Linked DNA regions of Mytilus edulis. The main gene of each other region encodes a partner of the protein of the gene in region 2 in a complex. Links are inferred from orthologs where the notes say so. Each region holds a gene or a part of one and is shown on either strand. Other genes may lie near its edges.

The links.
Region 1: U6 snRNA-associated Sm-like protein LSm4 (region 2) and U6 snRNA-associated Sm-like protein LSm7 share a complex: the UniProt entries of both Homo sapiens proteins name them as parts of the precatalytic spliceosome. The link is inferred for Mytilus edulis from reciprocal best matches to the Homo sapiens genes LSM4 and LSM7.
Region 3: U6 snRNA-associated Sm-like protein LSm4 (region 2) and peptidyl-prolyl cis-trans isomerase H-like share a complex: the UniProt entries of both Homo sapiens proteins name them as parts of the U4/U6-U5 tri-snRNP complex. The link is inferred for Mytilus edulis from reciprocal best matches to the Homo sapiens genes LSM4 and PPIH.

The regions. Positions count from the first base shown.
Region 1 is NC_092347.1:82,007,537-82,011,297, reverse strand, and holds the start of U6 snRNA-associated Sm-like protein LSm7, read left to right. Parts: upstream 1-884; 5' UTR 885-898; coding exon 899-1,015; intron 1,016-1,193; coding exon 1,194-1,302; intron 1,303-3,761. UniProt on the Homo sapiens protein: Plays a role in pre-mRNA splicing as component of the U4/U6-U5 tri-snRNP complex that is involved in spliceosome assembly, and as component of the precatalytic spliceosome (spliceosome B complex).
Region 2 is NC_092344.1:91,103,746-91,107,506, reverse strand, and holds the start of U6 snRNA-associated Sm-like protein LSm4, read right to left. Parts: upstream 2,338-3,761; 5' UTR 2,225-2,337; coding exon 2,222-2,224; intron 1-2,221. UniProt on the Homo sapiens protein: Plays a role in pre-mRNA splicing as component of the U4/U6-U5 tri-snRNP complex that is involved in spliceosome assembly, and as component of the precatalytic spliceosome (spliceosome B complex).
Region 3 is NC_092356.1:36,867,359-36,871,119, forward strand, and holds the start of peptidyl-prolyl cis-trans isomerase H-like, read left to right. Parts: upstream 1-1,021; 5' UTR 1,022-1,061; coding exon 1,062-1,133; intron 1,134-3,761. UniProt on the Homo sapiens protein: PPIase that catalyzes the cis-trans isomerization of proline imidic peptide bonds in oligopeptides and may therefore assist protein folding. Participates in pre-mRNA splicing.

The DNA.
Region 1 (3,761 bases), on a different chromosome or scaffold from region 2:
AAAAAAAAGTATTAATAAGATTTTATCGTGCACAAAAACTCCAAACATGAAGAAGAAAAATTAAGCACATTCCTCTCTACAGAAGAGGATCCAGACATTTTTCATTGGATTGTTACCAATGTGAATTGTTAAAAAGTTTCAAATGGTTTTACTGATCAAGTTAAGCTCATGAAGGTAGTCCTTACGCAAATGGTTTCGTATGACTTACAAAATATTTTCCAATTTTATTTTATTAGATTTTTGCAAGCTAAATTATCAACGATTATATCAAACTTAGTGTATATTGTTGTAACAAGTGCTTGAGTTGTCCACTGAATCTGACCCATTCAGTGTTGTTTGTAAAAACATTTCAGACAGTAACCCGAGCACACTATTTGAACTTTCCCATTTGTTTTTAAAACGCATTGAGCATACCAATCGGATAAATATACATAGTTTGTGTGCATGCTTTTCTTACAAGCGAATTGTGAACACATGATTTGTATTTTAATCAGATTAGTCAGACAATCCTAAAAATAACTAGATGTTAAAATAATCAAGCTTGTCGCATACACCTTATCGCTATTTGTCCGCCATTGCTGGAAATCACACAGGTTCCCGTAAAATTTTGACGTCATAAAACAAAATGATTGACGCCACAATGGAAAAGTGATTGTTGTTGACGTCAAAAGTTCAAGCGGACGGGTCAGCCGGGAATAGCGATAAGGTGTATTAAGATAGTCAGTAAAATCTAATTTTATAAGTTTGTTGCAAATATTTTTGGCTCAGTATATATTAGGTGTTTGGAATTATTGTAAGCCCTGTAATGGGTACACTATCTGTCTGACAGAGTTTCTATGACCTAGACCTTATTTTCAGAAGATAATGTCCATTCGGTCTATTTTTATATCATATTGTTATGTGGTTTTCAGATTTATCAACTCTTTCGTTTACCTCCCTTTCTCGTTTCCGGTTTTATTTTTGCCGGCAACGAAATTTGCACGTTTTGAAAATGTCACAGAAACCACAACAGCAGGTAATAACTGTTTTATTAAGATTCCGAATTCACACGACAAAAACTGAATGAGACATAAATTAGTGTATACCGATGTTTCTGAATTTCGTAAAAAAAAAAAAAACCAGTGTTGCACTGATGTCAGTGTTGGTAAAAATATTTTTTTACTCATTAAAGATTTTTTTTATTTCCTTTTTAGCTTTCAGATAGAGATAGAGACAGAGAAAAGAAAAAGAAAGAAACTATTCTTGACTTATCTAAATACTTAGATAAACCCATCAGAGTCAAATTTAGTGGAGGTAGAGAAGGTAACTAAAATTGTAAAATATGTTCTACCTCGTTATTCTCGTTCGAACATAAACTATTTCTCTTTCTAAATGAATGCTTGTCAATTCGTTCCAAGTCCGATTCGTTCCAAGCCAGTTCGTTCCAGATTTGGACAATTTGTACCAAGTCAATTGTCAATTCGTTCCAACTGATTTATTTCATTATTTATCAGATTAAACAATGTGTTCCACCTGATTAAGTTCATTATTAAATCAGACTTAACAATTTGTTCCAACTTTTTTATAATGTATATGTCCGTATATCACTGTATTTGTGTAATTCAACCTACAGTGCACAGCAAAAATCAGCAATTCCTTGTCCATTTTTTCTGCATTTTTCATATAAAAGATCGTTTTTCAATAACATATGTTCATCCTAACAGTTCATAGATAATCGTTCAATAGTCTTTCACATATTTCATTTTGCTGGTCAACGGATGGCACAATGATAAGTGCAACTGGGTAACTGTAATTTGCTGTCTTCTACTTCTACTTCTATGTGGTTAATCTGCAGTCGGAAATTCCATAACGCAAATATACTGTCTTCTATAGCTGTCCCAAAGCTCCATCATCTTGGACTGTGATCTGTTTGTGGCTACTTACTTTTTTTCAGTTTCGTATGTAAGGACACTGAGTAAATTTTAATATTGTAAAAAATACACAACCAGTGCTAATGAGTAGTAACGATGCACGCAAGAAAAACATAGCAAATGTGGTATGTCAGCCCATCAATTATTATTGACAAGCGTTTATGACCCAAGATAAGTACGATATTATTCTTTTGATGAATGCATTAACAACTGTTATGCGCACATCATTGAAATACAATAATCAATTATAATGATAACGATTTCTTTGAAAATATCACTTGTTAGTCACTTTATTCATATTTAAAATATTAAATTTGTCATGAAAAACTTACCTTAATAATTAATAATTATCAATATATATCATGCCCAATATATCGTTCTTCCCAATTAATAAACCATAGAATATTTTTAGATACGTATTGATATTAATTTTTTATCAGTACAGCATTAAAAATTAAAATATTAAGGCTATTTAAATGGTTAATATTGTTTAATACTGTTCTTGAATAAGTTGGAACGAACTGACCAAGCAACTTGGGACGAATTTGTTGGTACGAATCAAAGTTGGAACAAATCATCCAGATACCTTCAAAATACATGTATACCTTGCAATTGAATATTAAAGTCCTTACATCATGCCTCATTATATTATCTATATAATCATCTCAAACTGTTCATACTAATATCTACAAAAAGAAAATACAAAGAACTAGGATTTATTCAAAGCATAATATTACAATCTAAATGTAATAAAGTTGTTGAAAAAGTTTGATGTATCCCAGAACTCCCATATAACGTCAATTCCGGTGAATATAAAATATTCAAATCAGTGATATTTAATAGACCTGAATTTCCAGAACGTTCGATTTACATTATCCGGAAATTCAGATCTGTCAAATTTTACAGTGTTTAATATTTTATACTCTTTGGTAATGACATATTTTGGTAGTTCTGAGATATCATGTTGTAAGCAAAATAAATATTTGTCCACCTCAAATGGAATTGTATCTTATTTTATCAATAAAAAATTTCTGGAAATATTTTGCACCAATATTGGCAATAAGCACAAAAAAGGAAGACTTTGTAACTACCGGTATGTACAAATTTCTAGCCGGCAATGAAAATTTCATGTCAAAATTAGCCTAGGTCGCAAAGTTTCCCCCCAAATTTGCTCTCAAAGTCCAGATGTTAAAAGTGGATTCAGCGTTATGACGTCGTAGCAAGGCGTCTCAGAAAAAAAATAAAATAGCCTTGCCAGACGTCATAATTATTTGGACTAGCCTAAATACTAACCTTTAAAGGAGCAAATCCATTATCATACATGTAGTACATGTAGCTATAAAGGCCATTGGATTTATGGTATCAGGTCCGTTCGCACCCAATATACTTTCTTACCCTACATGTTAGCACCTCACATGTTCACCCCCTAAGCAGTCAGGGGACTTACTGAAATAAGTGATTTTTAAATCACTTATTTGAGTAGCAAATTCGAAGTTTTGTCACAAATTGTGATTTTGTAGTTTTACCAAAATTTGAAACACATAGGTTTAAAAAATATCTTTTCATTAGTTAAATTGAAAAAAATGAATTTTTTGCTTCTTTTAAGTATCAAGGTTTATGCCTTTGATGCTATCATTTAGCTGCAAATTATATTTTAGTTGAAAAAATGCTATAATAATGGCTTTACATAATGAACTGATACTTTCTTAAAAGATTTTTCCCAGCAGTGGGAGTATTTTTCCTGTGAAGTTCAAGGTTTCATCTTTCAGATTATGTAATAAAATTCTACTGTTCGCGATAAAAATTCCACTGTTCGGGGTTGTTGAAATTAGTGGGGGTTATTAAAAGAAT
Region 2 (3,761 bases):
AACTCTGTCTATTGAAGTTTGCAAATATTCTGTTTTAGCTTTCTAATGAAAGAAATTATGTTTAGACAAGTATATTGCAGAGTCCGAAAATGTCATTATTTTCGTATGTTGCATTAAGGTTGGCAAAAGAGTATTGCCCAGCCCAGTGGGAAATACTGGGAAAACCCAGGTTTTACTGGGTTTTACATGGTAACACTGGGCAGTGATTAAACACAAATGCAATACATTTAAAATATTTATAAACATATTTTGTTTATAAATAAGTTAACTTGTTTGAGATTCTTATAATACAAGTGTATACATTTGAGAAAGCATTATTTCAGCAACTACAATGTATGAGAAAGGTGTACATGAAGACACATTCGTGATATTAGGCAAATATTAATGAAAAAAGCCTTTCTCAATAATTCTCTACAAAATCTATAACATGTATATGTACATCACTAATTAATAAGTAATTATTCAGATTAGACACAGATATGTTTACATAACAATAATCAGCCTTTTCATTTTTATAAGTATTAATGACATGACCCTGTCGGGTGTTTATTTAGCAATATGATTGCAAAGCATTTCAAATTTAAACAATTAAATACTTTATTTCACACTACAAAATGTATGTATGTAAGCAATTTAAAACAACAATCATGATATTCTAATTATTCAAGACAACTGGACTTTGATTTTAAATTGGGTGCGAACGTGTAGGGTGCGAACAGACCTTTGATGCGAACATGCCAGGTGCGTACGCAGGGGTGTGGAAATATTTGTTGTAAGCACTTGTCCCTGGGCAAGTAAAACTATAAATTTTACCTGTCCGGAAAAAAAGTTACTTGCCCTGATGATCCTAATAAATATTGAAGTATTTCTTGTTAGCTAATATGTGATTCTTACTAAGCACTGTTGTGCCTGACAAACAAATGAAATCCATTTGTCTATATGTGTAAAAAAAAATTAGGAAAGTAAGAAATTGGTTAACATCAATGGGACAGAAATCTAACAGCAAACCAACCAATGAACAACATGTAAAGGACAATTTTGCAGCAGTTTTTGAATAAAGATTGTAGCCAGTTGGTACATATACTCAATTTGAGGAGTGGACAGTAATTGAAGAAATGCAAACTAGTAAATAATAGTTAAACTATTGATGTTGTGGTGTTTCTCTAAACTGACACTCTTGTTCTAGATTATTTATTATTGTCTTGATGAGCAATTAAAGAGTCCCTTCTAATTTGAAACTTCGACAACACATAATATTGACCTTTCATCAATAAATAAGACAAAAACTTAATTTATTTTGCGAATTTCCATCCTAGATAGCCAGCGGCAAACTGATATCCACAATGGCTGAAATTCTCTGTTTTTTTATATTTTAAATACTCTGTGTTCTCCATTTGCGTTTAAGGTTTTCTACTCGACTCATTACTCTTTTTGTCTTACTTGCCCTGCTTTTTATTAAGTGTTTATCAATCTGAATTGTAATATTATACAAAATTGAAAGAAATGACACTTCCGGTAAATGATGGATAAAACCTAATTGATGATTCCGGCTCAATGGACAAAGCCAATGCAATTTTACGTGACTCCGGTTCGTATACTTATTTTAATTTATTTTGGTAATCAATCTATTTCCGGTATTATGTAATGTTTATCGTCATGAACATTGATGTTTTTACTTGCTGACCATTGGTTTCTTTTACATAAATTAAACATTTTTATACGTTTTGAAATCAATTTTATATTTTTGTTGGAATTGAACTTTGTTTTGTATATTTTTTTACTTGTCCATGGGCAACCAAGACAAAAATAATTACTTGTCCGGTTGTTCAAATGTACGAGTCGGGCATAGCATTTCCACACCCCTGGTACGTGTAGGGTGCCAAAATGTATTGGGCGCGAACAGACCTGATACCCTATTGCCTAGCCCAGGAAAATCTGGTTTTTCCCGCCTGGGTTTTCCAGGGCGGGTAATACTTTGCCAACCATGTGTTGCATACATTGGACAATGTTGAATTGATTAATTGAGGTTTCCTGAACGTCCAGTAACAAATACTTCATGCCCGTTTCGGACGACAGTGTTGTCGTTGGAAACTCTCTCTAAAATTGTGAGTTTTCAATTGAATAGTTTACTTTAACAAGTACAAAACATTTCTTGTTCTTAATAAAGAAGCTAAAACATAAATTCATGTACAAATAGGCCAGTTAAATGCTAAATTGGTACCATTTTCTGAATCGAAATTTCTACGAATTTGCCGGCGCATTTATGGTATGGTTGTGAACCTGAATATAAAAGAAGAACGAAATGTACTAAATTGTTTGCTTGTTTATCCCAATATTCAAATCATTTTCAATTTAATTTTATTTGCATTTAATGATCAGTAATCAAAATTTATAGATAATAGGCAATTTCGGTTTTCATTGACGACAAAATCATGTTTTATAAGACATGTATTTTTGGTTTGCAGAGAGATTTATTTTTTTGGTTTACGATAGTTAGTCGTTATACATTGACAAGTAATAATACATTAAATCAAATATGATTCAATGGTTTTTTGTCTTATTAAAGCTGCATCAAACAGTTCGTCACAATTTTATTAACTTAATTATGTAAATTGAAGAGGCAAAACCTTTTTTATTTTTGTTCAACTTGAAAGTGATGATTTCTATGTTATCAATGGCAACATTTTAAAAATGATTCTATAAACACTGATCAGAGTTCACATACCCGTAACGGTGCCAACGCATAGGCGGATCCAGTTTATGAATGTTATAACATTTCTATACTTATATGTATTTTCTGACATCTTTATGAATCATCCCATTTGATTTTTCAATCGTTAAAAAACAGCATAAAAAGAGTTGATGTATGACGCTTTACCAGTACAGTTATTACTTGCATGCGCTCTTCGAGGTTCGCGTTTTAGTATAGTTGTTGCTATGGTGCTTTCTTTGAGGTCCGCGTTCCCAGTATAAATAGTGAATAGTTACTCAGTTAAAAGTCGTTATTTGTACCGAATATAGTGAACGTAGAAGATTAGCATCATGCATGTCAACATTTGTTATACCCGGTGCTGAGAACAGTTTATCTAAGGCAGCAACCATTTGATTTTCTGGGGGTGGGGGGGTGGGGGGGGGGGGGGGGGGAGGGGGGGGGGGGCGGCTATGGTTTTTTTTGGAAAAAAAAGTTTGTTTCCAGTTTTTGGAGAAAAAAATAATTTGTTTTTGATTCTGAGAAAAAAAAATTGTTTGTTTCACCCTCAGCTGCCACTATATGTAATGCTAAAATTGAAAGAAAAAAATTGTTTTCGACTTGTCGCGAAAAAAATAGATTGTTTTTTTCGCCAGAGGCGAGAAAAAAAAATTGTCCAGAAAAAAAAACATATCCCCCCCCCCCCCCAAGAATTTCAAATGGTTGCTGCCTAACAACACATATATTCCTGCTTTGTGTCAAAGAAGTAATCTCAAGTCCTCAGTCTTTTGCCCTAAAAAAAAACCAACCCCGTAGCAGATTAGAAAGCAGGATTAGTTAAAAAAGTGAAGTGTTTGTAAGCTGCTGACATGATGTAGATCTGAAAAGCGGATCATTATAAAATGTAAGACTGAGAAGAATATATATATAACCTAATGTTGATTTTAATTAGAGGAAAGGTTGAAGAAAGCAAAAAGTACTTTTTAACGCTGCTACACCTCTGTAAACTTTCCTTTCCGCCTATCAAACCACTATTTAAAACAAGATTGCATGACTATTCAGTTATTGGGTG
Region 3 (3,761 bases), on a different chromosome or scaffold from region 2:
GTATATTTGTTTTCGGTGGTAGCCGTGACTCAAGTTATCAAGGAGTGATAGTGAATATTTTTTCTACATTATGCATAGATCAAGGCCAAATCTAGGTTGACTTTAAGCATGTTAAGCCATGATTTGTTTACTAGTATATGGTTATGGTAATTTAGTGCACCGATTTTGAACCTGTATGTTGGCTGCAAATTAGGAGTGGCTATAAATGCAATATGATTTTGTTTAGATTAAAATGCCGTGGCACGAGTAAAGCCACCATGTTTTAACTAGTTTCAAAATCACTATAGTAATATTTCATTGATACAATTTTAAAATCTCTCTGCCTTAAGAAAACGGTCACGTTACACAGACCACGTACGTAACGGGTATATGGATGGTATTTGAATCTATGATCATGTATCGCCATCAGTTTGATAATAAAATAGCTGAAATTTATCTGTCAATACTTTTGGGGCATGCAGACCTAGCCTGAATGTTAGCTATAGTCGGTCATTAGTAGCGAAGACATATACTATGTTAGTTTGTCTATGTTTGTAATGGGAACAGTAGGCTATATCTAATTATACTTTTGTTCCTGGTATTAAAATAAGCTTTTGTTTAGATAAAGAAAATCTGAATAAGGTGTTTTGTGTCAAACTGATTTATCTTACCATTACGACCATTTTACAATAAGAAAAGATAACATGTAGACTTTATAGTGAATCTATAGCATGCGCCGGAAAGTAAACATCAGTACGTTGATGGTTTTCTGTAACAAAAGAAGAGAAGAGAAGAAGATAGTGAATGTACAGTAACACAGCCAAATGTTGAAAAAGAAAAAAAATAATACCAGGCTACCTTGGGTTGTACAAGTCAAGTTTAATACTTCTATATATATGCTTATATTACTATTTTTTATGTGAATTGAACAATTCTTATACACTCCCTTTTTTTCTACTCATATTTGTTTAAGTAAAAAAAAAAAGCGTGTGTAAATTTCAATTATACGGAAGTCCGTCTGATTTAACTTAGCTTTACCCAACTTAAAAGTACGTAAAGGGAGATAATAAAAAGCCGACAACATGTCGTATTCAGAAAAACCAAATAACACTAACAATCCCGTTGTTTTCTTTGATATTTCCATTGGAAACACAGTACGTATGATCATTTGAATATCTTCAATACACAATTACACGCGACCGACATGTTATGGTTTAAATAGAACATAGTGACGATTTTAGAAAAAAAAGGGGGGGGGGGGGTAAAACTTATTTTGGCGGAATTTTTTTATGGAGGCGGTGTTCTAAAACAACAAAAAATAACACGGGGAGGTGAATGGGCACTCTTTATATGCATAGACGTGTCATGGATTACTCTTTGTTTAATGTATCCTTTTTCAGGCTTAAACATTTGAGGTTTTCATTTATGATTCTTGTTCTTTGGCTTTGCTGTTAGCATTTATAGGGGATGAACTTGAAGTATGATTGCCAAGGAGACAACTATCACAGTTATTAGTATTCAAAATATGAGCATTTTCACACTATGACTATAATCTTAGTTTATCATAACAAATATTATATGGCTGTATTATATTTACACCTCAAAAACTACTCTGTGTACAGACTTACCTGTCCAGTTGGAAATGTTTTAATGCCTGGCATCCACTATATAGATATATGAAAATTAAATGCATTTTTCATTTCAGAAAGATTAAATCTTTTTTTTGTGTTTTAATGGGCATTTTTTTTCATTCCTGCACAAGGTATAAAAATAAACGAAGTGATTTTACAACTTGGAGATGTTCCCTCTCAGGTATAAACAACTCTTTTTTTTATTTAAATTGATTGTCATGGACAATAGAAATCTACACAACTATAGGTGAGTTAAAGGGTGTAATTGAGTGGACAGTATCAAATGCAATTCAGGTGGTTTTTTTACACCTTCTGCAGGAAGGGAAAAAAATGCCCATCAAAATCCAGGAATGATTTATTTTTCTGAATCACAAAATGCGTCTAAATCTTAAATATCTAGTGGATGCCAGGCATTAAAAACTTCCAAACAGCACAGGTAAGTCTGTACACAAGAGTAGTGTTTGAGGTGTAAATACGGCCATATTTGTCCATTTGTTACAGTCAGGGGTACTACTTGTACAAGTGTATTTTATTTACTTAAAGAAGTGAAAAAAAATATACACATATAAGTAAATAAATAATGTTTGAATAATCTCCCCTTAATTTTCTGAAAAATTTACTTGTATAAGTAAATTTTTCTTACAATCCAACAAATATCCTCAAGTTTTGAGATGTAAAATCATGCCTTTAAAATTTTTTCCCAGGTTTGCTCAATTTTTTTCATTAAAGATCAATGTTTCATCTCATTAATTCATCAAAGAAACTGATTGAGCAAAGATCTTGTATATTTGCGCAAGGCCTTCAAAAATTGCTCCTTTGGGGCTTGTAAATGAGCAGTGTTAAGAAGATAACAAACAAATGGGACTTTCATTGTCCATGAAATTACACTTAAATGATTAGTAAAGACATCTGTAAAGGGTACACAATTTAAAATTCTATTAGAGCAAAGAAATCTTAAGAATTCAAGAAAAGAAGAAAGGATGATTTTTTTACTTATACAAGTAAAAAATTCTGAATGCCTAAGGGACATAACTAAGCCAATTTTTTTTTTACCTATACAAGTAAATAAAATTCACTTGTATAAGTATCCTACAAATTTACTTATATGTGTATATTTTTTTTTACTTCTTCAAGTAAATAAAATACACTTGTATAAGTAGTACCCCTGACTGTGTTATGACGAATCTAATTCAAAGAAAAAAATTACAAACCTCTATATTTATATTTAATGATAGTTTGATCTGTACTACATTTGTAAGTACTAAAGTATAGACTATAAAATTTTAAAAAGGCACTAACATCATGAACATGAAAATGGAAACAATTCAAATGAGAAAACTAACAGCCTAATTTATAACAGAACCATTTATGAAAAACAACTATGCCAGACTATGAGCTATCTACAACCACTGAAGTACCATGACTACAGGTTTTTGACATAGAACAAGCACATAGAAATGATAGAGAAGCGGTGGGGTTAACCATATTTTTGTAGGCTCTCATTTTTCCTCTAACCTTGGACAGGGATGTGACATCACAATAATAGAACAAACTTTAAATACCAGTTGCTTGTCTTAAATTATGGTTCCAAGGATCAAAATAACAATAGATACCAAACACCGGATATGAAAACAAGGAATTGTATAAAAACATAGAGTATCTCAGAGCTCCAGATAAGCTGCATATTTGCGTGATCACGCAATAAAAATTATTAAAAACCCAATGCAATTGCCCATTGCAGGGTTCAATAACCCAATTAATTCAAAGGAAAACCCAATTATATGCCAAAACCATGAGTTTTTAACGCTTTTACTCGCTATCATTTGTGTTATTTAACCTTATCTGATCACAGTCGTAGCGTAAATCTATTTTATAATATTTATAATTGGAAAAATTCTATCGTTCTAAAAATAGAAGTTTTTCGAATTGCTCGGGACTTATCATAACATACAATGATTTAAAACGAAAGTAAATGTCCGCATGTTTTCATCTTCTTTCTTTTTGATAGCTTAGGGAAAGTTATGATAATAACAAAACTCAGCTAGTGTTTTTATGAAGCATCCATCAAACACACGTGCGTGTTTGCATACCTTAACGAGAACATTGCTAGATAGATAAACACAGGGTTACGTCAAAAACTAAATCAGTTGT